2 linked regions of the Arabidopsis thaliana genome follow. The protein of the gene in region 2 interacts with the protein of the main gene of each other region in a pairwise test. Each region holds a gene or a part of one and is shown on either strand. Other genes may lie near its edges.

Region 1 (16,493 bases), on a different chromosome or scaffold from region 2:
CGGTTAAACCTAATTGTATACATGTTTCGAATCCTATCCTAAATTGTTAAGTTAAAAGTAAATATGAGGGTCTTTTAAGAGTTTAACAAAAGATATAGCTTTACATAGAACAATTTAAAATATAGAAGGTTTTAGGAGCGTCTCAATTTTCAAATTTAAATTTATATCGATTAATTGAACATGTACATTATATGATTACAATCTATCAAATGTATAAAAATATTACAAAAGATAATACCTTTTAATTTTATTTCAGAGATACAAATAAAATGATATAAGAGTACACTGTTTTGCGGAGTATCATAATCTGAATTAATTTTAATAATTCAAAATATCTTTTAATATATATATTTATCATTATATAAAAAATCTCAAAAAATATTTTCTGATTTAATATTACTAATACATGATAACAAGTAACAACATGCATCATATTAGAAAAATAATATACTCGCAAAAACTTTAAACCTAAATTTTTTTGTCCTAAAGAAACACTTTTATCCCTCAATTTTGTTTATATGATGATGTTGGAGCTTGTGGATCTCCTAATCTCTCAGAGATTTGCTCTGATTTTGTGCGAAGTTTGTTTTTTATATGATGATGATGTTGGTTGTCGGATTAATTCCTCCACAAAAACACTTAACATTCCCAATTTCTCTTTTCTTCATCTTTATTTTCTCCGATTAATTTTTCTGTAATTTTGGGGATTTTGTGAGGTTCATTTTGTGTTTGAATTGATTTGATCTATTTTAATTTTGAATATGTATGGCAAATCTATTTTTTTTTTTAATTTCAATCTGAAACCAGAGAAGAAATTATCTTAAGTAGAGTACGAGTTATAGGTTTCCATAAGATTGTGATTTATTCGTTTTCACCAACCACTAAAAGAAAGAGACAAAAAACACGTTGCATTAGTTTTGTTGGCGTCTTTAGCATTTTCAATGTAGTCTATATTATACATTGGTTCAGCTTGAAAATTTGCAACCTTGATAATTAATATTGGGATTCCCTATAATTACTGGTTCGCATATCTCACTCGACAACTCGTATTTAACATAATTATAGCAACAAATCACCACAAAATATACTGAATTTAGAAGATTTTCCATAAAATTCAATAACATCTATACATTTTTTTTGCCGATCAATGCAGGTTTACAAACTTCAGTTAATTATGTTAGTTAACATTTTTAAGTTTTAACAATTTTCTATATTAAGATCTTTATGAAAAGGAAAAAGAAAAAATGAAAATAAAAATATGTATAACTCAATCATTATAATATAGAGAATAGAGAAATTAATGTCATTGTTAGTCTCATTATGTTAGCTTCCAAATAAATTAAGAAAAAAATCCTTAATTCTAAAATAAAATAAATAATTAGAATTAAAAAAAAAATCAAATATAAGAAGAAGTTTTCTAAAAAATTAACAAAAAGTTAGTAATAAACAACCGAGAGCGAGTTTTCATTCATTAACTCGCTCTTGGTTGCTTATTCAAGATTTATTTGAATGGATGGTACGAATGTAACATGTGCAGTAAATATTAGATTTAATGTCTTAGTGAGCATTTTGCAATAAAAATCTGTGGATTTCATGTTTATTACAAACAGTTTCTTATAAAACATTTCCTTCATTATTCATTAAGAAAATTAATTAAGAGCACAAACATTTCCTTGTTCGTTTGCCCTAGACAAGGCAATAAATCATATCCTAGAGAAGCGTAATCGATCATTCGATTTTCTTTACCTAAGCGTACAATTGAATGTTTTCTTATATTATTTCTTCCGTTCCTTTGTCTTATTATTCCTTAAGTCTATGTTCTTACTTACGTTCACTCTTTTTTTCTTGGTTACTCGGACAGATTCCAAGTTTCTTATTCTACAAGATAAATGAATCTTGGTTAAAATCAAACGTGGAGGTTGTGAAGAAATGGACAAGACAAGTCAGTTGCCTGATGAATTGCTGGTGAAGGTATTATCATTTCTTCCAACAAAAGATGCTGTAAGAACGAGTCTTTTATCGATGCGATGGAAGTCTCTTTGGATGTGGCTGCCGAAACTGGAGTACGATTTTAGGCATTATTCAGTTTCGGAAGGCCAAGGGTTAGCTAGATTTATTACTTTGAGTCTACTAGGACATAAAGCTCCGGCCATTGAAAGCTTGAGTCTCAAGCTTAGGTATGGAGCAATTGGATCAATTAAACCTGAAGATATCTATCTCTGGGTTTCACTTGCAGTTCATGATAGCAACGTCCGTGAGTTAAGTCTCAAGCTTTGTACTTTTGCGGAGCGTCCAACTAAATTGCCCAAAAGCTTATATAAATGCAAATCGATTGTGATCTTGAAACTGAAAGACGAGATTCTCGTTGATGTTCCTCGTAAGGTATGTCTCCCCTCCTTGAAAACATTGTTCCTTGGACGTGTGACTTACTCGGATGAAGATTCTCTTCACCGACTTCTCTCCAACTGCCCTGTTCTTGAGGATCTAGTTGTGGAACGAGATAGAATTGACAATTTGGGGAAATTGAGTGTGGTTGTCAAGTCCTTGCAGAGACTAACCCTAAAGATGTCTTGTCCTTGTCATCTTGATGGGATTATGATGAATACTCCTTCTTTGAAGTATTTGAAAGTCACTGATGAAAGGCAAGAGAGTGATAGTGATAATGAGAGTGATAGTGATAGTCCTCGATACTTCTACGATTTTGAAGATATGCCTAAGTTGGAGGAGGCAGATTTTGTATTGACATTCCAAAATATCAAAAAGTTCTTTAAATTTGTCACATCTATTAAGCGTCTTTCGTTATGCTTGGGAGTCTACACCGAAGAGGTAATCTGTTTCCATCAATCTATCAAACTTATTTTTGAACAATATTCTTGAAGTTGAATCTTTTGTCATCTTATGCAGTCTTTATATCATGAGGGTCTTGTCTTCAACCAGCTTGAACAATTGAAGATATGTTCATGTGATTCAGATTGGTCAATTTTACTTTCTCGGTTACTCGAAAGTTCTCCCAATTTACGAGAGCTCGAGGCTTACGTGATAGAAGTAAGTTTCTTCGTTAGAGACATATTCCATTGGTTCAATTTACTATATTGTTTAAGCCAAACTTCTCATGTTTGATCACAGGATCATCCAGATAGGCGTGTGGATCTACCAAATCAGTGGGGCAATCAGCTGAATTGTGTTCCTAAATGTTTGTTGTCGAGTCTCGAAACGTTCAAGTGGAGTGAGATGTATGGATTGCTGCAGAACCAGATGGATGTGGCTAAATATATCTTGAGAAATGCTCGATGCTTAAAGTCTGCGACAATCTTTTTTCCGACAACCTATGCTAAAGAAACAAGAGATGAGATGATCGAGGAGTTGTCACTTTCTTTTCAAGGTCCAGAGACATGCCAAGTCTTCTTCCATTGAGGATGTGAATCATAAGGATTCAAACTTGCATTTCCATAGACACTACCCTCCATATTACAATGGTTTTTTATTTGCAGCAACTTGATCTAAACTTAAGGTGTTTTTTTTGTCTTTGTTTTTTTTGTATACTTTATCTTTGAGCATACTATTTTTCTTGAGACATTGGCTTTATCTTTTTCTGAGATCTTAACAAATAACCGAACTTTGAAGAGACAAGACATGACATGAACTTTTATTTGCAGCAACTTGATCATAACACAAGACTCAAACACAAGACTCAAACACAAGACTCTTCAGCTTATAGATCATAAAGTAGATCAATAGCACAAAAAGATATCAATTAGAAGATCAGTCAACAATATAGATGTTGTAGAAATTTGCATCCTAATAAAGTTCATTACAAAGAAATGACCCAAGTTTCCCACACATATCCGCATCAAAAAAACAAGTGCCATAACATTGCATTAAGATTCATATTCATATTACCAAACAGAGCACTTGCACACATACATCAACACAAAACCGGCAAGAACATCATAGGAACACTCATTTGAAAAAACCCAAGGAATAGATTCGACTATGTAAACACAAACAAGTATCTAGGAAAATCAAAAACATAAGTAATAGAAGAATATGTTACCTTCAAAGAAGAACGAGATTTTCTCAGCGCTCTCAAACCCGGGTTCTCAAACCCGAACCGGACCGGAACCGGACCATTACCCATTTAACCCGACGGTTTACCCATAAGCCGAGCCCTAATTTTTTCAAAGAAAAGGGCCCTAAACTTTTCGTCTTCTCGCTTCCCTTCCTCTATCTCGTCTTCTCGCTTCCCTTACTCTATCCCATAGAAAAACCCTGAATTTGGTTTGGCCAATGATGTCAAAACTCTTCATTGATACTTAAGAAAGTTTTCTCCATTGTTCTTCTTATGGTCTCATTCACATTTGGTAAGTCTCTTCAACGATTTTGGTTTTGTGAGCACTTACTTCTTCTTACAAGAATTACATGTCTTTGTTCAGGTTGTAACTGTTGATCTGTTTCTGTCACAAAATGGGTTCGAAAAAGAAGTGTTTTGATGGTTCTAGAGATGGAATCAGCGGTTTACCAGACGCAATGATTTGTCACATATTATCATTTCTTCCAACTAAAGTAGCTGCTTCAACTACCGTTCTTGCCAAAAGATGGAAGCCTTTGCTTGCTTTTATGCCAAACCTTGACTTTGATGAATCCTTCCGTTTCGATCCTCGAATGACTTGTGAAGAGAGGAGAAAGGGTTCTGAAAGTTTTATGCTTGTCGTGGATAGTGTATTGGCTTTGCAAGCGGAAGCGAATGCTACGTTGAACAAATTCTACGTTAAGTGTGAAGGTGTTGAGCAAAACTCGGTGCTTGAATGGATACCTAAAGTGTTGAAACGTGGTGTGTTAGATATTGATCTACAGATCCCTTCGTCTCGCGGTTTTGGTTCCAACTCGACTTTTTATCCTCTACCTTCAGAGATCTTTGTGAGCAAGACATTGGTTAGACTAAAGATACAGTTTCAGGATGGTGCCAACGTTAATGTGGAAGGTGATGTTTCTCTTCCGATGCTTAAGACTCTCCATCTTGATTATGTTAAGATGGATACCAGAATGTTACAGAAGCTTCTTTCTGGCTGTCACACGCTCGAAGAATTATTGCTGATGAATTTGATATGGAAAGAATCTTCAGAACCTGAACCTTGCTTTGTGAGTGTTTCTGTCCGAACCCTCAAGATACTAAAATTTTCTCGTTTTGAAAATTTTATGAAGGCTAAAGATTTTAAACCGATCGTGTTATTGTCATTTGATATTCCAAATCTAGTCTACTTAGAGTACTTGGATACAATTGCGGACAAGTATGAACAAGTGAGGTTTGACTCGCTTGTTAAAGCTAGTATTGGTCTTTGTAAGACCTCTAAACAGATTGAAAATGACAATAATAATGTAACAAAGCTTTTCATGGGAATATGCAATGTCACGATTCTCTACTTGACTGAAGATACTCTTAAGGTCAATCACATCTTTCTCCTAATCTATTAAATTTCTACTCAGATATTGATAAGTGAGTAATCATATATGTAGTTGATTTGGTTTCTCTTTCAGGTACTTGGTTGCTGCCGTGAAACAATGCCGGTATTCGAGAACTTAATTCACTTAACTATTAGGACTGGAGTACATATAGGATGGAAATCATTACCACATCTACTCAAGAATTGTCCAAATCTACAAACTCTTGTCTTCGAGGTACTGTATACATCCTTTAAATCAACCGGTGACATGCTTTTGAAACACATATAATTAGACTTTGATATTGATTCATTTTATGTTTCAGGGAATGCATCATATATATAGGAAAGGAAGAGCTTGCGGGGACGTGGACGAGGATGGGACGTGCATGTGCAAAAATCTGGATAATATGAGGGTGAAGAAGGATATTGATGCTTGTCTATCGTCAAGTCCGGTGAAGGTCATAAAGATATTGAACTTTGGTGAACTTTGTGGGTTTTGTGAGTTTTGTGATGTTGAAGAAGATGTAGCGGGTCAGATAAAGCAGGTCAAGCAATTCCTAGAGACAATGCCGGATCTTGAAAAAGTGATATTGTACTACAATACACCAGAGGATGAAGATGTGATGAAGGTGTTCAAGAAACTTAAGAAGCTTCCTAGAGTAGCTTCAGCCAAGTGTGAGGTCCAAATAATCTCTGATAACATCAACTTGTCATTTACTTTCCGTTAGATGATCTTTTCTGGTTTCTCAGCCATGGACATGTTTCAGGCAATCAAGCTGCTACAAGTTTGCTAAAAACTCTAAACTCTGTTTCTTCCTTTTGTTATTTCCTTTTTCTTCTCTTTATTGGCTTTTATCTTACAAACCAGTGAACGTTTTGTGTTCTTTTGTTGGTTTTAGTAATGAATTTGTGTTTTTTTATGTTTTTAATTTGACGTGTTAGAAACTTGCTTGTCAGGTTAAACCAAATCAAACACCATAATTTATTTAGTTAGGTCTGCAAATATTAGGTCGTTGCCTCTAATATCTAACTGCTTCAGTTTCATCAAACCTCTAAGCACCAAAGATGCAACAACTAATATTGAACAAGACTCAAAAAGCGTTAGAAAACACTACATAACGTACCTTCAGTTGAATGAATCTCATTGTGACTGAGATCTAACATTTGGACAAATATAGCAACTTCTCGACCGCGGCTATCCGAGATAGTGTTAAGTTACTGAGCCTTAGACATACAATATTATTCATATTCCTGTACCGAAAGAGGTGTCTGCACATGGATTCAATGCTCCTGTGCATCAACATTCTCTTTATGACTTGAGAGATCTAAGAGCAGAAACTCAACTTGAGAGATTCACTAAAAAGTATGTACCTCGTGGAGAAGAGCTACGTTGTGCTCATCCTTGTAGTACTGGTCATGCCAAGAATCAAGAGCCATTAGATCGTTATACAGTTGGAGAATCATGACTTGCTTTCCTTGCGACTAAAGCAATGTTCTCTACTGTCAAGTTTCAGACGAGCAACCCAAACACAAAAGTCCACTTGAGAGTTTTTCTTATCCGAAACTGGTTCCCAGACAAGTTCTTTGAGTTCAGAATCAATAGTAACAGTAGATGAGCTAACTCCACTGACGGCTTGGTCAAAGTAAACTTAGTAGAAGAGGCATTGAAACAGCCAGGTCCAGATAGAATGATAATAACTCAATTTATTAACACCAAATACACGTTAATATAATACTACAAATTTCAAAATCAATTACAAATCAACAATTCTCGTACAAGAATGCATCGTGTATGACAAATTAATATTCAAACAAATAATATATAATTGTGTATTCAAAACCATATTATATAAGCGTAGAGAATAATATCATCAAAGACTTGTGTTGAGCAACTCTCTGTAATCTTTACGAATTCCCCACAAAATCTCACTGCATTTTTTCATGCTTGGTCTCGAACGTCTATGAGGAGCTAGACATTGAAACGCCATCTCCAATACCTTCTCTAATGCTAAGTTGTTCGCTGAATTCTGTTCTAGCTTCGGGTCCAATACCGATATCGTATCTCCACTCGTGAACTTCTTGATCGCCTGATCAAATCACAACCATTACACATGAATCAAAAACTTGTTGAACTTACTTTATAGTAGCTAAGAGAATGTTTAGTGTTACCCATCTAATGGTGATGCGTTCTTTTTGTCCTCTGCTAAGCTCGATGGGACGCCGACCTGTGAGAAGCTCGACGAGCAGTACACCAAAAGAGTAGACGTCACTTTTCTCTGTGAGTTGATACGTTGTTAAGTACTCTGGGTCTAAGTAACCAGCGGTTCCTTTGACTTGTGTTGACACATGCGTGGCTCCTGAATCAGTATCTGGAGCTAATCTTGCAAACCCGAAATCAGCAACCTTGGCTCTGTAATTCTCAGTGAGGAGAATGTTTGAAGATTTGATATCTCTGTGGATGATAGGTGGCTCTATAACATATCCAAAACAAATGTGTCAAGGAACAAGTACTATTGCCATGAAAGAAAAAGAAGGAACCTATGTATACAATGGACTTACGTGTATACATGTGAAGATAGGTTATGGCATGAGCTACATCGGTTGCGATATCTAACCGAGTCGCCATGTCGAGAGTCTTTCCTTCCTTACCTACAAACAGATTCACATTGATCGATTAGCTTGAAATGAATATATACAAAAAGAAGATAGTAGTAGGATGTGTACTCACAATCCAAGTGATCTCTAAGAGTTCCATTGGCTACATACTCCACAACGAGAATCTTCTCGTCGTTATGAACAACAAATCCATAGTATTTAACCAAACTCAAATGAGTAACTTGAGCTAATGTCTGAATCTCACTCATAAACTCTGCATCTGCACCTTGACGGTCGTCATGCATACTCTGCATCAAGTTAGTTACAATGTTATAGCGACAATCTCCATTAAGACAGGACTTAGAAAGGAATATTCAAACCTTTTTGGCACGTTTCACAGCAAAGGTTTTGCCATCTCTGAGTTTGACCTTGTAAACAGTGCCAAAACCGCCTTGTCCGATCCTAAAGGACGGAGAGAAGTTCTTGGTCGCGTCGTAGATTTCATCGAAGGTGAATCTTGTATGCTCTGTTTCGTTTGCATTTCCATAACTCCTCTGTACACTACTACTTCCTGTTGAGCTACGTCTACTACGGATATTATTGTCTGCTCACACAGAGACCAAATAAAATCATCATCAACTGTTTCCACTAAAAGTCTAAAATCTAAGAATTACTGATCAAACTATACCGGAAGAGGACTTTGAATTGTCGATGTAGTTGGAGGAAACGGAATCGGGAGGAGTGAAGCAGTTGATGAAGATACCGGAGATGCGACGAGCGATGGAGGTGGTTGTGTCGGTGGATGTACGGGCAGGGGTTGTCGGGAAGGAACGATCGGTGAAAGTAGTGTTACTGTAATTGGAAGATGTGGTTGCAGGAGATCCGACGGTGTAGCTATGTCTCCGACGACTGGGCATCGGAAAGTTCGTGGAGAACGTGTAGCAATGGTGAACACGGAAGGAAGGAAGAGTCGGAGAGACTGACTTTACAATTTTTTCAACTTTTTCTTCTCCGTTGAAAAAGACGACTGTTTTGGGTATTTATTGACGCCAGCTGTACAACTTGACGTTCTCTGATTAACAAAATTTAAACTCGACAAGCTAAGATAATTAATGTGTATAATTTCCTTTTTTTTTATTACATTTTGTCTAATGATTTGTAATAAGCTTTTTTATTCCTTAGATTTAAATTCGATAATTATTAATTTTGAAAAAAAACGATTGGTTTCAAATTTTATTGAATAACTAAATACTTTGTATATAATAGTAGTTCTCGGCGTTCAGTTATCCATTCCGTTATCGATTTTTTCGGTTTTAAAGTTTAGTATCCATTCGGTTATTTGAAAGTTCTGTTCGGTTTCGATTTTAAAATTTAGTATCCATTCGGTTATTTCATTTAAAATATTTCGGTTATTTTGAATATTTTTAAATATTTTTAGATATTTCCAAATATTTTTACTATTTTATTTATATTTTCAAGTATTTTTAGTTATTTAGTCTAGAAATAATTAACACTTTTAAAAATATATTTATACTTTAGATATTTTACCCAAAATATTTTGGTTTGTATTTATTCGGTTTTATTTCAGATATTTCGGTTATAGAATTTAATATTTATTCGACTAGTTTCCAATTTTTGGTTCGGTTCGATTTAATTTTTTTTTTCTTCAATTTTGGTTCGGTAAATTCGATTCAATTTATTTACAGTAGTACTTTAATTCGGTTTAAACGCTCCAAAACAGCACGTACATGGAAAATTGCATATGTAAGATTATTAAATAATTTTAGTATTTAGAACATCTACTAAATTCTGTCATTATTGAATTTATAGAGGATAATTAGTTCAATGCCAGACGTAATCTATCCGAATGATTTGAAAATTTTCAACTAATATCTTGTTAGCGATTATTCCGCCGCCACCATATTAAATGCCAGATGGGTCTATCTCTATTAATGCAATAATCGAACTCGCATTTAATTTGTATTTTTTTTTACAACAAAGATACCAAGAAAAAGGTATAATATTTTTCTTATAAAGTTACTATTAGATACATTTTATATGAAAAAGGCTTAGATTAGAGGAAATAATAAAATGGTAGATTAAATTACTTTGATTAGAAGTCAATCAATATTAGGTTACGGTTAACAAGGAAGATTCATAGGCAGGTGAAGGATGATGAGAATTGAGACCTTACCAGCAAAATATTCAATAGCCTCTGATAGCGACAGAGGGTTTGACCTTCTGTAGAATGGACCATGGTCTAAAATGTTTATAGCCCATGTTTCAGAAAACAAAAGCCCAATGATTAGCCCGTATCCTTAACCGACGTCGTACTATTTAAAAGGTATTTAATGAGATTTGAGAATAATTAGGCAAACTAAATAAAGTAAAGTAGGATTACAGTATAATTACTTACTATGATGAGGTTATTCGACTAGAGAAAAGGAGCTCTGTGTGTCGAAACCCTCCGTCGCCAGCATTTATTCTTCTCACTTTTCTTCACCGGAGAATCACGACAACATCAAATTCTCCGGCGACATCTCAGGTTATCTTCGTTTACTGCTCTCATCGGTTAATTATTCCATCTCTTTTTTTGTTTCCCGGAGTCGGCTTTCGTGTACTTTTTGTTTTTGGTCTTTTCGGCTTCTTCAATTTTAGGGTTCGCGTACTGTTTAGTGTTGTTTAGTTTCTGATTTAGATGTGCTTACTGTGTTCATGTTGTCGTCTATTCTTATGAGAAGATCTTATGGTAGAGTTACATATCAATGATGTTACCAATTTTGAAGGTTATTGTGTTGTGTTTGATTAAAATTGGCTCAAGTGTGAAATGCTTTTGCTCGCGTCACTGTTTTCATTGCAACTTGACTGAATCCTAGAGGTTGTTTTAGAATATAGATTCAAGTTTCAGCTATTGATGGGACATTACAACAGAGCATAAGGAACATTCCCATACCTTTGTGTTTCTTATGGATAACTTTGGCATCAGATCAACTTTTTCTTTTGTCATTTTGCTTATTAACACTGTAATAATCACTTGTTATTGGGATTTCTCAAGTCTGCTTTGATTAATCTTGTTTCGTAATGTTCTTCTCACTATTCACTCTTCCCATACCTTTGTGTTTCTTATGGATGACTTTGCCATCAGACCAACTTTTCTTTTGTCATTTTGCTTACTAACACTGTAATAATCACTTTTTTTTTATTGGGGTTTCTTAAGAGTACTTTTGATTAATCTTGTTGCATTCAAGTAATCGTTGTTCAGTTCACTCTTTTCCTGCAGTGGCAGTGCATCTGTAAAATGCTTCAAGGACTGTTGTTCGCTACTCTTGCTTAATTATTACTATAGCTGGTGAAAATGGGAGGTTGCTGTAGTTCTTCGAGGAAGTCACATCTTGTTGGAACACCTGTTTACTATTATGTCAGTAATCCTTTTCACCATCTTGCATTTGTGTTGCTTTGCACTACTGACTATCTATAGATTATGATTTTAGTTAAAACAAATCGGGACAAGAGCATGATTTTAGAATCTCAACAATTTCTTGTAACAATCTCGCTTGAGTGGTCGATAGTAGACTACTAGAGGTCGTGAGTGAGCTGTGTTTGAAAAATGTCTTCTGAATTATCTACAGTTATTTGATTGTGACACTCTACAAAGTTTCTATTTATTAAAAGTTTGTTACGCAGTGTCCAGAATCTTTTGAAGAGCTTGTCCCTTCAGGAACCCGTGCTGGTGTGGGATCAGCATTCACCACAGGCCTCTTGGTTGATATAGGTTTGGAGACATCTATACCTGACACCTTTTGTGCTCCTGCTCCTCTTCCATATGATTTGCTTTTGGGGCGACCACAATGCACAGATTCTGAGTCCATCAAAGGAAGGATGAGTGGAAGCAGTTTTGAAACGCTAGCGACGTGTGAAGATCTTGGGGAATCAGACTGTAAAACTCTAGCCAGCTCAGTCATTCTTTCACCGAGGAAATCAGATTTCTCGAAACATCAAGGATTGAAGATATTGGTTGATGAAGAGGAGGACTGTTGTCCTATTTGCTTTGAAGGTAAGAAATCAAGACCGTTGAATAAAAAGAACTCTTTAACTCTTGTTTTTATGAGAGAGCTAAACAGAGTCGTGGATTGCACTATGCAGATTATGATGTTGAGAATCCAAGACTAACGACAAAGTGTGAGCACGAATTTCACCTCTCTTGTCTTCTGGAGTGGATTGAAAGAAGCGATAGATGCCCAATATGTGATAAGGTGTGTTTCCCGCTTGAGCTTTCTTTGGCAGATCGATTGTCTTGATGATCAAAGAATTGCACTTTACTGTTGGGAATTCGTAGTTAGATCAACCATTGATGGTTGCGTAATTAGGGTAAATAAGTGCACAATTTGGCAACTAACTAACATTCTGTCTTCTTTAACACAGGAAGTTGTGTTTGATGATCGCTTGAACTAGCATCATTACTATCCCCTGGCTTGAAAGTTTGAAGGTGTGGCGCTTTGTTTGGTTAGTCTACTACATAATTAGCATACATCTATTTTGTTTCTTCCTCACACACTTTAAGTGTTGGGTCTCCACATTTCCACTTAGTTTTGTCGTATTGGTTATGTTCGTTTTGCCCTTGTGCGATCATATAGATATACATAACAATTGTAAATATTACCTAGCTTCTTGTTCGTTCGTTTGTGATCTCCGGGGTGTGATAGAGAAGAAAGGACCACCATTTCAGTATTTTGATTGTTTGCATCTTCAAAATCATGTCCACTCTTGTCTTGATCCATGATTCTATCTTAGCAATATTGGTTAATGCCCTGATCTGGGAATCATAATAAGCATGATTTTGTTTGTTTGTTTGGTTAAAGAAAGAGAGAGATTCTATTAGATATGGATATAGTATAATTCCATAGTCTAAAGAGAAACTGAATATTCCAAATAGTAAATTGATCCACATGCGACTAGTCTTGTCGTGTGTAAGATATTAAAAAGAAAATGATTCTTTGATTAACACCTTTTGTCTGCTGCATAAAGTAATTAATTAGAAATAATTAAGAAAAAGGTTAGGAATCATTTAAGAAGAAGAGAAAAAAGATGTCATGGCTTTGACTTCTAGCCACTTATGTCTGCCACTGCCACCTCCCTCTTCTCAATTCCTATTCTGCCCTTCTCTTTCTTTTAGTTCCTATCCTGCCGGTGTTGATGAATGAGGGTTAATATAGTAACTTTGGCGTTAGGAACTATAGTTCCAAAACCTTTTTCTGAATGAATTTACTTTTTGGAGGTATGAAGTCACAGCTTTTACAGATTTTATCTTGCAAAAATTCTCTCCACATTTCAAACGTCTAATAGTTAAAGAGAGCTTTTGTTTTTTCTTTCCCATGTCTATCAGTATCACCACCGAGAAAATATCATCAACACCACCAACCAAACATTAACCCACCCGAGAGTACCCAATGCCATGTACTACTTATCTTCCTCTTCTTCTTCTCCTCTTCCTTCTTCCACCACCATCTGTACAAAGCAAAGTTATCATCAAAGGAAACCAAACCATTCTGAGTTTCAAAGCTATTTTCCGGCTTGGTTTCTTCAGCACCACCAATGGTTCCTCCAATTGGTACTTGGGTATCTCTTACGCTTCTATGCCAACTCCCACCCACGTTTGGGTCGCCAATCGAATCCGACCCGTTTCGGATCCTGACTCTTCCACTCTCGAGCTCACCTCCACCGGATACCTAATCGTCAGTAACCTCCGTGACGGCGTCGTTTGGCAGACGGATAACAAACAACCCGGAACCGATTTCCGGTTCTCTGAAACCGGGAATCTGATTTTGATCAACGACGACGGTTCTCCGGTTTGGCAGAGCTTTGACAATCCGACTGACACGTGGCTTCCGGGGATGAATGTCACCGGTCTAACAGCTATGACTTCGTGGCGGAGTCTCTTCGATCCTTCGCCGGGGTTTTACTCTCTGAGACTGAGTCCAAGCTTCAACGAGTTCCAGCTTGTTTACAAAGGAACCACACCGTATTGGTCCACCGGAAATTGGACCGGAGAAGCCTTCGTCGGCGTTCCGGAAATGACCATTCCTTACATCTACAGGTTCCATTTCGTTAACCCTTACACTCCCACGGCGTCGTTTTGGTACATCGTCCCACCGTTGGACTCCGTTTCCGAGCCACGGCTGACGCGGTTCATGGTCGGCGCCAACGGCCAGCTGAAGCAGTACACTTGGGATCCACAGACGCAGAGCTGGAACATGTTCTGGTTGCAGCCGGAGGATCCTTGCCGCGTTTACAATCTCTGTGGTCAATTAGGGTTTTGTAGCAGCGAATTGCTCAAGCCCTGTGCTTGCATCCGCGGTTTCCGGCCTAGGAACGACGCCGCGTGGAGATCTGATGATTACAGCGACGGATGCCGCCGTGAAAACGGTGATTCCGGCGAAAAGAGTGATACTTTTGAAGCCGTTGGTGATCTACGCTACGATGGTGATGTGAAGATGTCACGGTTGCAGGTAAGCAAGAGCTCTTGCGCCAAAACTTGCTTAGGAAACTCTTCTTGTGTTGGTTTTTATCATAAGGAGAAGTCTAATCTCTGCAAAATTTTACTCGAGTCGCCGAATAATCTGAAGAATTCGAGCTCGTGGACTGGAGTTAGTGAAGATGTATTGTATATCAGAGAACCAAAGAAAGGGAATTCAAAGGGAAACATCTCTAAGTCTATAATTATATTGTGCAGCGTTGTTGGGTCAATCTCAGTTCTTGGGTTTACATTGTTAGTGCCATTGATTCTGTTGAAGAGGAGTCGAAAGAGGAAGAAGACTAGGAAACAAGACGAAGATGGGTTTGCTGTGTTGAATCTTAAGGTATTTTCTTTCAAGGAGCTTCAATCAGCTACCAATGGGTTCTCGGATAAGGTCGGACACGGCGGTTTTGGGGCGGTGTTTAAGGGAACATTACCGGGTTCTTCTACATTCGTGGCTGTGAAACGCTTAGAAAGACCTGGAAGCGGGGAGAGTGAGTTCCGGGCAGAGGTATGCACCATTGGGAACATTCAACATGTCAATCTCGTTAGGCTTAGAGGTTTCTGTTCAGAGAATCTTCATAGGCTTCTTGTCTATGATTACATGCCACAAGGATCCTTGAGTTCCTATCTGTCTAGAACAAGCCCCAAATTGCTAAGCTGGGAGACCCGTTTCAGGATCGCGTTAGGTACTGCCAAAGGGATCGCGTACTTGCATGAAGGATGCAGGGACTGTATTATACACTGTGATATCAAACCGGAGAACATTCTTTTGGACAGTGATTACAACGCCAAAGTGTCTGATTTTGGCTTGGCTAAGCTCCTTGGACGTGACTTCAGCAGAGTTCTAGCCACGATGAGAGGGACATGGGGCTACGTGGCTCCCGAATGGATATCTGGTTTGCCCATCACGACAAAAGCTGATGTGTATAGCTTTGGAATGACATTGCTCGAGCTGATCGGTGGTAGAAGAAATGTCATTGTTAATAGCGATACACTGGGAGAGAAAGAGACAGAACCAGAGAAATGGTATTTAGAGAATGTCTTTTACTTGGAATCAATTGTAAGAGAGAAAAAAACATATACATTGAATCAATGAATCCCTTTTCAGGTTCTTTCCGCCATGGGCAGCGCGTGAGATCATACAAGGCAATGTGGACTCTGTGGTTGACTCTAGACTCAACGGAGAATATAACACTGAAGAGGTGACGAGGATGGCAACGGTGGCGATATGGTGCATACAAGACAATGAAGAGATAAGGCCAGCAATGGGAACGGTAGTGAAGATGCTTGAAGGAGTTGTGGAGGTGACGGTTCCTCCACCGCCTAAATTAATACAAGCTCTTGTCTCCGGCGATTCATACCGAGGAGTGAGCGGCACAAGCTGTAGTGAAGGCCATGGCTGTTCGGATCTCAATACAGGTTTGTCTAGCCCTGGCTCACGGTCGTCTTTTGGTAGACCTTCTCCTTGATCAATTTTGTAAGGTGATTTGGTCAAAACCAGCCTTAAATGTTTTAAGTGTTGCTCTCTAAGAGGGTTTAATTAGTTTAAACTGTATTTGTTGGTTGTATGATATTTGACTTAATCGACATTAACAGTTAAAACCATGGATTATGTCTTTCTTCTTAGTTTGAAAGTTCTTGTCACTTTGATAATCTTCTAATGGCATATATGTAAATTCTTACAGAATGTATTGTATGAGAATCATTACGTGATTGAATCAATAAACCCATGTCGATACTTTAAACTATATGAACGGTCACAATAAACCCATGTTCTCTCTTCTTCTACTCCACGGCTAACCTTAATCTTAGGCAAACCAGAAACACAAATTACAAGAACAAACATAAAAAAGAATCTCTTGTCTTGTCTGCTTTCAATCCTCATGTCTCTAATCCTCCCCAAGTAGAGAAATATAAAAACTTAGACAAATATTGCCACA
Region 2 (16,396 bases):
GTTAAGTTGTCTTAACAAGAGAAGTTGAAGCTGAAATAGATTCCTTGAATCTTACACTCATGTAGAAAGATAGGTCTCTAGTTAGTTTGTGTGGTTACCTTGTGTCTAAGATAAGTCCATGAACACCAAGCATCCAAATTTGCACCCTTTGAAGATAAAGAATAAAGACCCAAAAAGACTAGCTTAGTTACTAATATGGGTTTGTCCAAAAAAAAAAAAGTTACTAATATGGGTTTTTAATGGGCTTTTTTGGCCCAATGGTCTTAAACTCTGGAGATTTTACTCTAATGACCCCCTGTCTAGGACATACTAGTATCCAAAGCATATGGGGAATTTTAAAGTTGTTTTCTTATATGTTTGATTGGTTTGAATTTGATAGTTTTACTCTGTCTTTTGTGCAGTTTGGTGTAGAAGAACTGATGAACTTGTGGATGGGCCAAATGCTTCACATATAACTCCCATGGCTTTAGATAGATGGGAAGCAAGGTTAGAAGATCTTTTCCGTGGTCGTCCTTTCGATATGCTTGATGCTGCTCTCGCTGATACAGTTGCTAGATACCCGGTCGATATTCAGGTCAGCCTTGCTCTGTCTTATCTTACTTCCTCATTTCATTACATGAGTTAAGAGTTGCATTCAGTCCATTGCAATAAACCTTATAAAACTTTGGTCTAATGTTTATTTATGTTGCAGCCATTTCGAGACATGATCGAAGGAATGAGAATGGACTTGAAGAAATCGAGATACCAGAACTTCGATGATCTATACCTTTACTGCTACTACGTCGCTGGAACCGTCGGATTGATGAGCGTTCCGGTTATGGGAATCGATCCTAAGTCGAAAGCAACAACCGAAAGTGTTTACAACGCTGCCTTGGCCCTTGGTATAGCCAATCAGCTTACTAACATACTCAGAGACGTAGGCGAAGAGTGAGTCTTTTTATATATTTTAAATAGAGCTTTGGTTTCTTGATTTCACATATCTCACTTAAACCGGTTTCTTGATTTCACATGCTTCTTTTAAACCGGTTTCTTGATTCACATATCTCTCTTAAATTGGTTTTGTTCTCACTATCAGTGCGAGAAGAGGAAGGGTTTATCTGCCTCAGGATGAATTGGCTCAGGCTGGTCTTTCAGATGAAGACATATTCGCCGGAAAAGTAACTGATAAATGGAGAAACTTCATGAAAATGCAGCTTAAACGAGCAAGAATGTTCTTCGACGAAGCTGAGAAAGGCGTCACCGAGCTCAGTGCCGCTAGCAGATGGCCTGTAAGTGTCTCTAAAACACTCTTCAGCCGCAAGTTTACCGTTTACTTATTTCTTTTGGATCGATTTTAACCCCGAGGACTTGGCTGCAATGTTTCAGGTATGGGCTTCATTGCTATTGTACAGGAGAATACTGGACGAGATTGAAGCGAATGATTACAACAATTTTACTAAGAGAGCTTATGTGGGGAAAGTCAAGAAAATTGCAGCTTTGCCATTGGCTTATGCTAAATCAGTACTAAAGACTTCAAGTTCAAGACTATCGATATGAGAGCGAGAGGAAAGTGGAACAAAAACAACCTAAGAGCGCTTTTTGTGATTAAGAAAAAACTTAGGCTCGAATTTATTATGTTAACTAATATATACATATTAATGGGGAAGCAAATTCTTATAATGTTACATTATCTTTCTGAATGTAAAAAAGTATTTTTTTTTTTAATTTTATTTTAGTTATAGTTCTCTTGGCCTAATGAGGGGATATACAATTTTTGGTTGATGAAATAATCTTGTGATATACATACAGAAAGAAGTTCTTCTTATATTCGAATAATAGTACAAGTGAGTAACCTTGTATACTATGTAAAAACTCCACTTCTATTTTAACCCCATTTTATATCTCACTCAAAAATAGAGTAAAAACTTAAGAATAGAGAACTATGGTCTTAGCATTGACATGAATCTTAAAAGTATATTGAATTTATTACTGAAACGTACAAAACAACACAAACATAAAACAGAAACTATAAAGCTTATTTGGTTCTTCAGATCATCATAAATTGGAGCTAATTCAGTGACCAGCCAGCACCATAAGCTTCTTCCAAGACGGTCTATCCGAAATCTCTTCCCACCACCGGTTAAAACTACCCCGAGCCTTAACCATCTGGTTTATATCGGTTATACTCATCAAGTACCCCATCGCCGGCATGTGCGTCAAATCAGCCATAGTGAATTCTTCACCAGCCAAAAACCGGTTCGAAGAAAGCCGGTTATTGTATATGTCCAAGACCACTCCTAGCTTCACTTTGAGATCCTCGACCAAAACGACGTCACATTTCTCGCCTAACCTAGGCTTGATGATTAGGTTAATCACGAGGGGTTGGGCCAGAACGTTGAAGTAATAGGTCTCCACGTCAGCCCACTGGTCCACGATGGCTCGGTGCTCTAGAGACTTGCCCAAAAGGTTCGTGCCTTGGTCCGCGAACTTGGTAGCGTAGTATCTCGCGATGGCTCGTGATTCTTAGAAGATAAAGAGCCAAATTTCAAAACACTATAAAGAAAATGATAGAAGAATGTTTATAAAATGTTGTTATTAGGATGTTACCAAAAAGCTTGAAATCTCCATCTTCTATGGCTGGAACTTGACCAAATGGCTACACATGAAAACAATAATTATAATATATTTATGTTTTAAGTTTAAGAAATTTGTTTTTTTTACCTGACGAAGAAGATGTTCTGGTTTTTTTTGCTCAAATGTATCAAGATCGATATGAATAATCTCAAATTCAATTCCTTTCTCGAGAAAACAAAGCAAGACTCTTTGTGGACAAGCTGCTGTTACCTGTCCATATAGTTTCACAACCATTCTATAAGTTTACAATAACTTTGTTACGAATAAGAAAGATTTTACTATATGCACTTATTAATATCTTGTCTATCAAACTGGTTTATAAATGAGAAGAAATGAGAGTAGATGTGTTGGCATTTTATTAGACTCAAGATTTGAAGAAACTGGTTGTTGTGAGGGTTGGGTAGAACATGTGGTGGTTGTTCCTCTAACGGTGGATATGTATCATTGAAATTTCTCTACAAACTTTTAGTTCCAACTATCAATAACAAAGTTCCCTTGTTTGGGAATAAAATTTCGATTACTATATATCGCTATCGAATTTTTGTTGTAAATGAGACGAACACTTCTCTTCCCAACAACCACTTTTGACTTGCATAATAAATAAGAAAGATTCAGAGAAAAAAACTACAAAACTAAGTGACGTTTTTGGGGTTCTCAAAGATTTCTACTTCAATCAAGAATAACAATCATTACAAAGTTTCAATACTCTTAATCAAACACATATCCGTTAATCATTTTGTCTAAATCTTCTACTAAACCTAACGTGCTTTACAAGCAAGCTTTGTCTGTTTTTAAGTGAACTGTCTTCTCATGTAAGTATCCTCATGAACAAAAACAGGATCTTCTACTCTCTCTGGAATCTGAGGCTGCCCCATTGCTATTCCTGTTCCTTGGGTCGTTGTGGCAGCAACAATTTGCTTATTTGAAGTCAAACATAAATAGTAGACAATCCCAAGGGCAATAGTAACAAGCGAAAGCACAGCACCGGTAGAGAAAACGCCTGGTTTCACTATGTAGCAAAAGTAGGTACCAGCATTCATTGATTCCTCGGTGTGTTCATCGTTGAGTGCAGCTCCAGAAAGCAGCACGAGGAAAGCTATTACAAAAGTGAACCTATAGTAACGCGAAATCACTCACTCACTAGTTGTAAGCAAATTATAAGTAGGAAACTTGAAGCAAGAAAAGGATTAGAAATGATGAGAATTACCAGGAAACAACAAAGCAGATTAAGGAGATAATCCAATTAGACCTTGAAGGAGCAGGACCTTTTCTACAACAGAAACAACCGCTTGAGACACTGACTATTATCTGAGCCATCATCAGAAAGAGAGCTGAAGTGAAGCCGAGATTGAAAGCTGGACTTCTTGGATAAGTGCATTTTGTGATTGAATCCGAAACGGTAACCGTGACCTGAGATCTCTGCATCGATTTTAAGATAAAAATGAAAAACAAAACCTTCAGAAAAAGTTTGAAACATTGCACAAATACACACCAAGAAAGTTTCTTAATAGACAGAGTAGTTCAAGAGAATAAAACTGATTCTACATACCCTGCAAATTCTATATGACTAATTGATTCTAAAAAAGATGATTCAACCGAATCGACCAATACATAAACCCCATTAAGAAAGGCTATAACTTTGGTTCAATAAATCCAAAAACACATATGTGAATTGTGAAAAGCTTGTGAATGAGACTTAGTTGAATTGGAATCTGACATTAAACATATCAATACATATGCAATTACCAAAACACACCAGAAAACAACTCTTTACCACACAGTCTCTCTACAAAAAAAATTACTATTAAACTTCTCAAAGATCTTCCAAATTTGAAATCAACAAGTTCTTCTATACAAAAACCACCGTGAATGGGGACCATTACTGTTTCATTGAAAAATTCCCAAACCAACGAGTTTCCCACCAATTATTATTCAACTCCCATCTCAAAGATTGAAGCTTTCATCTCAAACGCATTTTCAGGCAATGAATTTCAAAATCGACACATAAAAAGAAACGCAGACAAAACCCAAAAATCCTTTAGATAGAGTTTCAACAAACCATTGTGGCTGTAATAACCCAAAGATCATGAGAAAAACCACAAATTTCACTAAAAAACAGAAACCCTAAAAAGTGCTGAAGAAGAAACCTTGATTCGAGTAGCTTCAGCGACGAAGGCAGTAACAGCTGATAATAAACCAAGAAGAAATAAAACACCACACATCACAATCTTTCTCCTCTCCATCTCTGTCTCTCTCCCACCAACTCCGAAGATGCTGGCTTTTTTTTTTTAGTCTTTGTTTACTTTTTTTCTGCTTCTTCTTCGTTGGTAAGAAAATGGAAAGTTGGTGACAAACCCATTAAACACCGCACTCACTTTTAGTCGGCAAAGTACTCTACTCTCTCCTCCTTATTACATAGATCCACGCGTAATGGTACTTTCAAGTTTCAATAAAATGTATTTTCTCTGTTTTGGTTTGGTTTCTGATTTTGGTTTGATTTGTTCAATTCAGATCCGACCGGACCGGTTTGCTACTGAGGTATGCAAAGAAATTATTTAGAGAAAATTAATCTATTTAAAGTTTCCTCCATTTAACTAAATAAGAATAGCTTATTGGTTACATAGATTTTATTTTATTTAAGAGTTTCATCATTTATAAGACGAACACATTTTATCTGTTTCTTACTATAATTCAAAAATGAATAGAATGACAATATTCTTGACCAAAAATATAAAGAATGAAAATGAGAATTTTGTTCTATCATTTGTATTTTATTCGTCCATGAATTATTTATCTTTATTCATTTCAAATTTACTATTTATCTAATTAAAGAAATTAGATGGACTTATATTTGATAAAATTCTTATGAGGTTTCGTCATATTTACATTTTGGTTTAATCAATCTAAAGATTCTTGTGAATCAAAAAAGATTAGTGCCGCCTTGGATATATTCATCATATAAATGATTCAATCATAGGTCTCTCTTTCTCTCTTATGACATAAGTTAATGATGAATCTATTTTCTATCTTTAGATAAGCCATAATTAATTCATTCCTAGAATCAAGCATGTAAGCAATAGAAAGAATCAAGCATATAAGTAAACTTTCACTCTTATCGCTAAACAAAACGGTATAAAAATATATCGTTTGCGATTTGTTAAATACGTCAATAAGTTTGAATATTCCATAGTTATAAAGATTTCAATATCTCAATTATAGTCCATTATTAGTTTCCATGTTATAGCACACAAAATTAGTGATTAGCGATAATCTCTTACCATAGAAACACAAAATCAAACGCAATATCTTTCAATTAACCACCTTTCTTTATACAAACCTATATATACATTTAGAGATATATATAGATAGAAAACGTATTATCATCGAAATTCGTTCTCATCGTCAAGCATATGAGTCGTCCAAAAATGAAATCTTCGTTGTTCTTTGTCTTGTTATGTTTGTTTCAAATAAACAAATTATGTTTCTGCTTAGAAGAAGAATCTCTAAAGGTTAAAAACGGATTTGGAAGCAATGGATTCATAAGTGTCACTAGTTTCGGAGCTATTGGCGATGGAAAGACTGATGATACTAAGGTGTTTATTTATAGAATCATCACTATTTGTATCAAAGTGGTATGTATAACCTTTGTTTTAATGTATGTGTTATGTGTATCAATATATTTCAGGCTTTTCTTAAAGCATGGGAAGCTGTATGCAAAGGAGGACACAATAGAAAGATTCTTGTGCCTCAAGGGAAAACCTTCATGCTTAAGCCTCTTACATTCATCGGTCCATGCAAGTCTTCGACCATCTCCTTATCGGTATATATATACTTGTCTCTTTCTCTTGTTTCAAATTATATTGGAAAATCCAGCCCTAATGTGAATGATTTCAATAGTGATCGATTTTAGCTTATGAGTAGACAATAACTCGAACCAATGTTTAAATAATTTGGTGATTTATTTACATTAGATAAGAGGTAATCTTGTGGCACCGGGTTACACTTGGTATGCGGGAAGATACACAACATGGATTAGTTTTGACAGTATCAATGGTCTTGTTGTCACCGGAGGTGGTACCATCGACGGTCGTGGTTCTTTGTGGTGGGGCAACGTTAATAATCGCCCCTGCGTAAGTCCATTTGCAAGATCCTCACAACCATAAATATGAACTTCGATCAAATATTTATTCTCAGTTATTAATGATGTTTCTTTTTCTTCCTTGCTTTTCTTAGGCAATGCACTTCAACAACTGTAATGGTCTTAGGATATCTAATCTCCGACATTTGAACAGCCCTCGGAACCATGTAGGTCTAAGTTGTTCACAGAACATCGAGGTCAGGGGTTTAAGGATGACAGCACCCGGTGATAGTCCAAACACGGATGGTATTGACATATCGAACTGTATAGGAGTCCACATACATGACTCAGTGATTGCCACTGGAGATGACTGCATCGCCATTAATAGCGGTTCCTCTCATATCAACATAACCGGCATTTTTTGTGGCCCCGGTCACGGTATCAGGTGATTCCTAAAATCACAGATTCACAAACAATCATCATATAATATACAGCAAGGTACATGCTAAATCATTTATAGTATGGATTTGATATTATAGCGTAGGAAGTCTTGGAGTAACTGGAGATTTCGAAACTGTTGAAGAAGTGAGGGTAAAGAACTGCACTTTTACAAAAACACAGAACGGTGTCCGAATCAAGACATACCAGGTTGTCCATTAATCTTCTTTTTTTATTATACATCATTAGTTCTTGGTCTTATTCAGCATTTTCACAAACTAAATCTGTTTTTTTTTGTTGGCGTGAATGTTTTGTAGAACGGATCGGGATATGCTCGGAAAATCTCATTCGAGGATATCAACATGGTTGCCTCAGAGAACCCTATTATCATAGACCAGACTTACCACAATGGAGGTACGAACGGAGGAATAAGCAAGTCATCTAGTAGCTATCAGAACTGTCATTTAACAGCAAAACAACGGACTCCGTCTGGTAATGGGAAAGGCGTGAAAGTGACTGACGTGCGTTACGCTAGAATCCGTGGGTCATCTGCAAGCGATCAAGACATTACATTGAACTGCGATGCAGACTTGGGATGCTCAGATATAGTGATGGACAATGTGAATATGGTTTCAGCGACATTTGGTCACAAGTTGTTTTCTTCCTGCAAAAATGCTCATGGGTCTTTATTTGCTTCAAAAGTGGATTGTCTGAAACATTAAGTATGCCTTTCTTGTGAAATCCTTTCCTTCAAGAACCAAGAAAGAAAATGGAGTCTTCTCAATTTTTTTCTTAGAAGAGAACCGTTTTTCCTCGAGTTTTTTTTTTAAAGTAGAAAACGTCTAATTTGTTCTTATTATTGGCTGAATAAATGTTTCAGTTTGTTACTTTTACTATTGCAATAAATCCTGCAGAAAATTGGGTTTTGGGGTCATATCATCTAAGAAAGACTGAAACTCTGAGGTTGCTTTGAATCAAAACAAAGTTGGGATTTTAACCTCTGCAAAAAATGAGATTATGGAGAAGAATAGAAAGGTTCAAACGCTCTTTGACTGTGTAACAGAGAGATTGGGAAAGATGTTCATTAAGAACCATGGAGCAGCTAGTGTAAATTAGCTACATTACTCTATCAAGAACTGAAAACTGAAAAAGAGGTACTAATCAAATCCATAACTGGAGTCCTTAAGTTGATTGAATCATTGACAAAAGAACAATGATTGGTTCATGATTATCAAACCAACATATTAGAACACAATCAAACAAGGCTCCAAGTTTGAAGTTTTATTGCAAGTTTATCAATCAAAATCCAAACGTGCAACAGATCAGATAATCAAACAAGCATTGAACAAGGCATAAGAAGCATATATTTTAAGTATTATAGATCCTTCAATCCCCAGTTCAACAAAGAGCAAACATCGGAAAACAAACGCAGAAAAAACCTAAAACGGCACAAGTAGTAAAGAGACTCTTTCATCGAAATTCAAACAACTCGAAAACACTAAAGGACCTGAGGAAGACGAGGGACGAAGCAGCTGGATCTTACTTAATCCTTGTTCTTGAGCCTCTCAACCCTCTGATTAAGCTGCTCAATCCTCACAACCAAATTCGTGACAGAGTACAAAATCCAGTAGAAAACAAGAGCCGACGCAATCAGAAGCGCGTTACGCTGAGACTTCATGATCGATTTCTGGTGACGAAGATGCTCAGAAGGAGTACACGAATCACCATCGCAAGAAGGTCGAGTCTCATACTTCCAGTAAATATCCATAAGAAGGAAGAGACAAAACGGGATTATCGAGAGAAACGGTTTCAAGAGATTACGAGTTACAGCGACTAATCCTTTGCGGAGAGCGTCAAGTCCAGGCATCGTCAAGAGAATCACCATGATCGCTTCAGCTGCTGCTGCGTAACCTAACACAACCCATTCGAGAGCCATTGGAGAAATCCGATCTAGATCTGAGTCGGTTTTGGTGCTCTGATTTGATTTTGATTTTTTCTTAGTGAACAAGTTTTAGATCTTTTTCTTTGCCTTTGTTGATTATTTGGTACAAAAGGTAGAAGAAGATGTACGGAGGGTTAAGCACGTGGCGCTTGTGTGGTGTACGCGTCTCGCACGTCGAGGTTTCTTAATGGGCCTATTTCAACCCAACTTTTTTTTTGTCATCAGCCCAACAAAATTGATTTTCCCAAATTCATATTGTAATGCGTCATCAAGTATATTCTAGAACCTAATCTTGTTCCCTGATTTAACGTTCGTAAATAAAATAAAAATCTTTATGGTTTAGTAAGATAATAACATAAAGATATATTAAAACGACAAAAGCTCCATTAAAGTTGTTAACACAAAGAAAGAAAAAAGTTCTATCAAAGTCATTATTAAAAACTTGATTAACACCAAAACTAAAAGAACTTGCACCTAACAAAACTCAAAATCTTTATCATCGTTCACTATACTTTCGAGAGACCTTCTTTGGAATTTGAAGTTGATTCTCTGTTTTCTTTTCATCATTGTCAGAATTATATAGACAAGACTCTTTTTGCACCACATTAATCACATCTTTAGGCTTATGTTTAAGAGAGACAGAAGCTTGAAGAGGATTACCGGAAAACTTGGAATCTCTAAAGACTCTATCTTCACCACGAGTTCCAAGCTCTACAAATATTGTGTCGATTTCAGACTTGGTCATTGGAGTAGAACGTTTGCGTACGCCAGTCATGTCAAATTCCCTCCATGGAATCTCTCCGTTTACATATTGATCAAATCTCTGAAAAGTTTCTTTGAAGTCTTTCACGTCTTTTGCGTTAGCCATCGTTTGTTTGTTGTTGATGATTATACTCTTTGAATTCACTTGTGTGACTTCAAAGATTGTGGAAGGTTTATAAATATATATAATTTTTTTTGGTAAATGGTTTATAAATATAATTAGAATTGGTAGAAAGTTTATCTATCAACAAAATAAATTAAAATTGTTTAACATTAAACCAAAAAAAAAAAAAATTAAAATTAGTTCTCTTAAAAAAAAAATACAATTTGGTAAAAAATTAATGTAATTGTGTTTGATATATGGTTTGCAAGTACCTTACTCTGTTTTTAACTCTTGCTGCTGCACTAGTTTGATTACAGAGAAAACAAGAGTTACATAAGAAGGAGAGAATCGAAAAATGCTTTACATAATTTAACTCTCAAGTTGATGTCATCAACATTCATTCTTGGTTTGCAATTACAAAGCGGACTTGTTTTATAGAGATTATAAAAGTTTTAAGAAAAATTTATTGAAGACCATAGACAAGCAAAGCTCCAACAGCTCCAAGACCGGCCAATAAGCCAACAATGACACCAATTGGAGGCAATCCTCCTCCTATGGCCTTTCCTGTGTTCACGTCATACTTTGCAAACCTCTTCTTTGGTGCTATACATTGAGGACATACGTATGTATCCGGCTGTAAAAGAACCCCGAGAAAACAATACAAAACTTAGTTATAAAAATCAGAAACATATATGCAGCCAAAATCAAACTTGTATATAAACTAAAATTAAAGGATTGAGACTCACCTGTTCGTCAAAAGATTTGGGTAAAGTGTATATGAATCCACAATCAAGACAAATGTGAGTAGCTCTTGCCTGCAAACGAGAATGTAATGGTGTCAAGACAAATCAATCAGTCAAGTTTCTAAAAAGGGGTTTTAAATGCAATAATTCAATCTTTGAAACAACAGATTGCTACTAGCCTTCTGAGTCTCAGTTAACTTCCTTCCAAACCGTGGAGGAGCCGGACGCTTATTTAGTTTCTTAACATCAACTTCTGCACCTCTGTGTTTGATCAAAGATCATAAATTGCATCAGAAACTAATAAAGAACCTCAAAAAGCTTAATGAATAACCTGAGGTGCTAACTTATGCAGCTTGTTAAGCTAAGCATTGCGAAAATCTAATGACATAGCATAAGAAGAGAACTAAACCTACACATTGCACCTCAAGAAGACTTATCAACTATAGCATCAGACCATGGAATACTTAATCAAGACTACAGCTTTTCACAGGTTTCTTGTGCACAGGATTCAAAGGAAACATATTTGCGACAAATTTGATCATTTCAATCTAATCCTTATTTCAAAAAGCAGAACCCACATTTCTAGCAAGATAATACCAAAATAAAAACAAGAGAGGCAATCACAACCACACTCAAACTCACCTGCTAACAACAAAGTAGACAGAATCAGGTTTTGCCTGAATTGCAGTTTTAGTAAAGCCAAGCTTATCTGCAGGCCAAAGCTCATCTCCAAAGAAACTGCTTGTGTACACAACTTGATCTCCAGATTTAAGCCCTGCTTTTGCTGCGTTCCCTCCTCCGTCCACACCCTGAAAACCAAAAACAAACCCCTCAATTTTATCAAACAACAAATTTACAAAGATACCATTCCATTGCAGAGACTTAGTTCAAAATAACTCACGGTGATGACAACTCCACCGCCTTGCTTCTGTCCTAGAGTCAGACCCAAAGGCTTATCTACTTCAACCTCTATTGTCTTAGAAGCTGCTGCTCTCGCTTTGATTTCGAATCTTCTCAACCCATTTAACCCTCCGATCTTTCTCTCGGAGACAGCGAAGATCTCTGATACACTCTTCTTCGAATCTTCCAACGAAACTCCTTGAAACACAGTTTTCTAAACACACAAACCAAAACAAGAGAAAAAAATATACATACTTTTAGATGAAGCTAAGTCCAAATCACATTCAAGAGGAAGAAAACGAGAATTTCAGATTCGTTTGTAAAGACATCGAAGAGAAGATATAGACCTGTGATAAAAGAGAAGCAGAGGAATGGAGTTTGGGAGATGGGTTTGAAGTAGTAGTAGTTTTGGTGAAGAAGGAAGAGACAGTAGCTCCTGAAATCGCACCAGACGTTGCCATCTTTCTTTCTAGTGTGATCGAACGAAGAAGCTTTGATTGATTCTTAATTTCGATGTTGTTGCATGCGTTTTGTGAGAGAAGCTAGGTTTTTTTGTTTTTGTTTGAGGAGGCCCGTGTCAAAGCTCCAAAGAGATAACCTTTTCGTGGTAATCGTAACATTTTCGTGTGTTATGCACGGTCCACTCTGTCCACACTCTTCTCTTTTTTTTCTTTCTTCACTATCCACACTCTTCTCATCTTCCTCAAATAACAATCACAAATCATTTCTATATCCTAATTTATTATTTTTCAAATTTCTTGATTAAATTATGTTTTGTTCCATGAATCTTCTCATGAACATTAATATGTTACGTAAAAAAAAAAATGTTAGTGGAAGAGAAGTAGTGTGATGTGTGCGTTAGATAATCGGAGATAAATGAGTTATTAGTGGGAAATTAATGACACAAATTTACATCCTTTAGTTTTAGAAGATGGGCTTCCTTCTGAAGAGCCCGTTACAGGTCCATGTCCATACTGTACAAAATACATAGCCTTCAGACGCAAAACGGTGGCGTTTCATTGGTGGGGAATAATCTAAATATACATTTTTGCAGTCATTTTAACAAATAAATCTTGGATTTGGACTTATTTATAATTCAATGCCATTAGCATTAAATCTTTTCTCCAAAATAATTAATTTTACTTTAAATTCTTGATTTAAATTGTCAACCACATTATCAATCAAATTTAATCCAAACAAACTTCAAATCAATCCCTTAAAATTAGCATAAACATATTTGTTAACAATATTTTAAAACAAAGTATTTTGTTAAAACAAATATTATTCTTACTAAACGTTTTTTGTTTAAATAAATAAATCATGTATTTGAACCTATTTACAATGTCATGACACTGATATTATTTATTTAGGAATAAAAATATTTAATTAAATATTTAAATCTTTTAAATCCTTGCTTTTAGAGTTATTATGTCATTACCTAAAAGGCTCAAAATATAATCTTTTTAAATATTATTATTTATATATTTAAACTTTATAAAACATTATTAATATTTAAACTTATAAAAAGTTTAATATATCATAATTTTTTAACATCATTATATAATATATAGAGTTTAAAAAATCTCAATTCTTTCCGTCATATTTTGTGACTCGAAATTTAAAAAATGAGCATATATTAACCAATTGACGAAAATGTGTGAGTTGTACGTCCCACATCAACTAAAATATTTAGACAATAATTCATAAACATATCATAAATAAGATTAATATTAATAAAATAATAGTTTTTTTACGGGACGGGTTTGGCGGGACGGGTTTGACAGGACGTTACTTAATAACAATTGTAAACTATAAAATAAAATATTTTATAAATAAATATAATTTACAAAATTTTATATATACTAACTTTAAAATATAAATTATTCCCGTTGTGTATCGTTGTGTAACGGAGCACCACAACACACGAATCGTATTGGTGTGTATCCTCCCATCTCTTCTCTTCCACACTAATATTATTATTATAAAAACTCACACTCAACTCTCAACTACTGAATTCACCATTAATAATACTCATCCTAAACAACTCTCTCTCACTCTTCTCTCCCTCAATATTGTGTACAGAAATAGAGTTAATGGCAGCCAAATCGAAGAACATTCAGGTGGTCGGGAGGCACATAGTCAACGGCGTTCGTTCACGCGCCGTCGCATATGGTCTCTTCACGTCTCGGTAGCTCTTTCCTTTTTCTCTCTGTCTCTCTATTTTTCTGCTTTTGATAGTTTACGTTATCGATGATAATAAAGGGGAAGGAGAAATATAAATTTGGACATATGTAAATTTCGTGATATAGTTTGGCTAGGTCATAGTGTTCTAGACGAGATGTTGATCTTTTACCTATGTTATTGGTCCCACATCTAAACTCAAACTTGCTTCGACTGAAATAAGTGTTCAAAAACTTTCACAATTGTGTCCCCTTTTTTTTTTTACTGCCTAGACAATGGTGTGGTTTTGGAGACTTTAACTGAAATGATCATATCCAACATTTGCATATGATCCAACATTTACAAAGAAATACATATAAATTTTTTTTTTTTTTTTAAACAAAGGTTTTCTTATAAAATCCAAAAGGAACTATGCATATTATATGGCATATCCAATTGGGCGTAAGAGAGGATAATACCAAAAAGGTTCAAACCCAATCGTCCATCAAGGAATGACACGTGTCTTTATACAGATTATTCCCTTAATCTTGGAGAGGGTCAAGTGAGAAAAATACATCTTGGAGAGGTCCTCATTTTCTTTCTTTCTTTCTCTAACATGAAAAAAATGAAGTGTAATTATCTCTGCGATTCCATCATATTTTTTTAGTGTTGTGTCGATCGTGCGAAAGACCGGATCTTATGAATTAATTTACAAATTAAATATGCATGGACCATGCAACTTCCTAAAAACATATTTCATGGCACTAATTAAAGTCACTAGGGAGGAGACCCGCGCGTTGCGCGAGGTGGTTTGTTTTTGGTTTTGTTAGTATGTAATTATAACTTCGATTTTTTTTACTGATCTTTGATTAAAAGGGGAATATCTTTGTTATTTGCTAATCTTATCTTTTAATTTTTACATTTTTGTAATCTATGTATAGTTTTACATTTTTTTTTCATGTTGTTACCAGTTATATGCTAGAATTTATAGGACAATAGACCAAACTTACTATCTTGTAAGAATATTTTTTAGAGTTATATATATCTAAGCAATGCATTTGTTACATTGGTCTTGTTTTTATATATTTTATTTTAAATTAAAAATACAATGGAAATCTCTCTCTGTTTCGCATTAAGCGGTTGCTGCAGAGGATAGCGAAAAACAGAGACTAACGACGAAGTTATTTTACACATCGTTGCCATTGTTAATTTTGGCCCAATATGAACCCGCCCATTTGTTTTTTCTCTTTGTGTCTCTGTTAAAATCTTAGAAACTACTCTTTGGTTTTGGGAAGATTTTACTTTTCAACGTCTCTTCGCGAATTAGCCAAAAAGAGTTGGATTATAACAATATTAACATTGAAAGTACGATATGCTTAGATAATTAATTAAAAGTTTGATTTTATTGTAAAAATAAATTTCCTTACAACAGCAAGGAAAGACACACATTAAAGCAAAAGAAATAAGAGTAATAACTTTGTTTTGAGTTTTTGTGATAGTTCACTGCCTCAAACATTATAGGAAATTTTTTAAAAACAGTTTCCAACTCTCTAGATGTTTTGTTTAAGTTATACCATAAAAATAAACTTAAACATTTGTTTGTAGAAAAAACATTTCTCACATGTGTTGTCCAAATCTCTTGGATGGCACACGTCGGGGGGTTTCATGTTGCGAAGTGATATCATGTAGCATCTTTTTCTCGCCACTCTAATCCCATTTAGTGAAGTTTTGATTTGTTTCCAACACGTTTCAGCCATGGTGGTGTCTTTAGCCCATTCAAATTGGCTCATATAGGTTTTTCCCTCTTCAGTCCTTCCTCTACATAATAATAGCATGACATACATGTAGATTGCTTCTTTTTGGCCTCCGTTAGCTGCTATGCCAATATGGTGGAGACCAACGTCACAATGATCAAGGTTAAAGTACCATATTATACCTTTTATGTAGTGAGCATCCGGGTTGTTGTTGGCAAGACGTTTCTTCATAATAAGAAGGTGTTTGCGGCATGATAACGGTTTCTTCACCAACGGAGCAAGATTAAGGGTTTTGAACACGCGTTCATCGTTTCCTGATGTACCTAGTATAGGAGATGATGATTTTATAGTAGTTTAAAGGAAGATCTATAGGAGGTTTTTGCTTTTCTCCAGTTACAGTTTCGATTTGAGATATTTAAAGTATGAATTTAATTGCAAGTAGTAGAATTTTGTAGGAATTAAGCCATGTATTTAAGTACCTTTTAGTGAATAACTGTTGATGTTTGAGCTTCTGGGGAAGAAAAATACAGAAAGCTCCATGGGGCATGTTGGGGGATGGATTGCACCCCTCATTTTAGCTCGGCCCAAATCAAGAATAAACTAATCAACATCAAGCCCAAAAAGCCCATAAAAGTTGGTCCATTATCCTATCACCAGCTTAGTTTTTCTATAAATAGAGAGGCATCTCAAGGAAAAAAGGAGGAAGAAATCCATATTAAAACGTCTTCAAGCTCCTCAGCTCGTTCTCTAGCTCCTCTGCTCGTCCTCAAGCTTATCAGCTCGTCCTCAAGCTCCTCAGCTCGTCCTTAAGCTCAGCTCGTTCTCAAGCTCCTCTGCTCGTCCTCAAGCTTTTCAGCTTGTCCTAAAGCTCCTCAGCTCGTCCTCGAGCTCCTCAAGCTCCTC

Evidence for each region.
Region 1: the proteins of AT5G17190 (region 2) and RLK4 interact in a protein complementation assay, tested with the Arabidopsis thaliana proteins (one large-scale study listed by BioGRID).

Annotation. Positions count from the first base shown.
Region 1 is NC_003075.7:135,475-151,967, forward strand, and holds RLK4 (receptor-like protein kinase 4), read left to right. Parts: upstream 1-13,137; 5' UTR 13,138-13,483; coding exon 13,484-15,579; intron 15,580-15,661; coding exon 15,662-16,022; 3' UTR 16,023-16,258; downstream 16,259-16,493. Other genes in the region: AT4G00315 (F-box/RNI-like/FBD-like domains-containing protein), read left to right, coding at 1,930-2,826, 2,905-3,045, 3,127-3,414; AT4G00320 (F-box/RNI-like superfamily protein), read left to right, coding at 4,465-5,442, 5,536-5,676, 5,765-6,169; CRCK2 (calmodulin-binding receptor-like cytoplasmic kinase 2), read right to left, coding at 7,313-7,528, 7,611-7,912, 8,001-8,090, 8,170-8,344, 8,417-8,640, 8,725-8,953; RHB1A (RING-H2 finger B1A), read left to right, coding at 11,392-11,454, 11,721-12,090, 12,180-12,289, 12,459-12,488; AT4G00342 (uncharacterized protein), read right to left, coding at 16,259-16,438. UniProt on the Arabidopsis thaliana protein: Serine/threonine-protein kinase.
Region 2 is NC_003076.8:5,644,979-5,661,374, reverse strand, and holds AT5G17190 (B-cell receptor-associated-like protein), read right to left. Parts: upstream 9,205-16,396; 5' UTR 9,066-9,204; coding exon 8,673-9,065; 3' UTR 8,202-8,672; downstream 1-8,201. Other genes in the region: PSY (PHYTOENE SYNTHASE), read left to right, coding at 402-574, 692-927, 1,076-1,268, 1,366-1,536; GSTF12 (glutathione S-transferase phi 12), read right to left, coding at 2,053-2,501, 2,587-2,635, 2,701-2,847; AT5G17210 (transmembrane protein, putative (DUF1218)), read right to left, coding at 3,405-3,726, 3,821-4,032, 4,761-4,856; AT5G17200 (Pectin lyase-like superfamily protein), read left to right, coding at 6,039-6,206, 6,299-6,433, 6,585-6,743, 6,847-7,136, 7,231-7,339, 7,447-7,851; AT5G17180 (uncharacterized protein), read right to left, coding at 9,568-9,939; ENH1 (rubredoxin family protein), read right to left, coding at 10,400-10,570, 10,683-10,751, 10,859-10,940, 11,322-11,488, 11,581-11,793, 11,927-12,040; AT5G17167 (nucleic acid-binding, OB-fold-like protein), read right to left, coding at 15,308-15,557, 15,582-15,816, 15,973-16,066; AT5G17165 (uncharacterized protein), read left to right, coding at 13,673-13,767.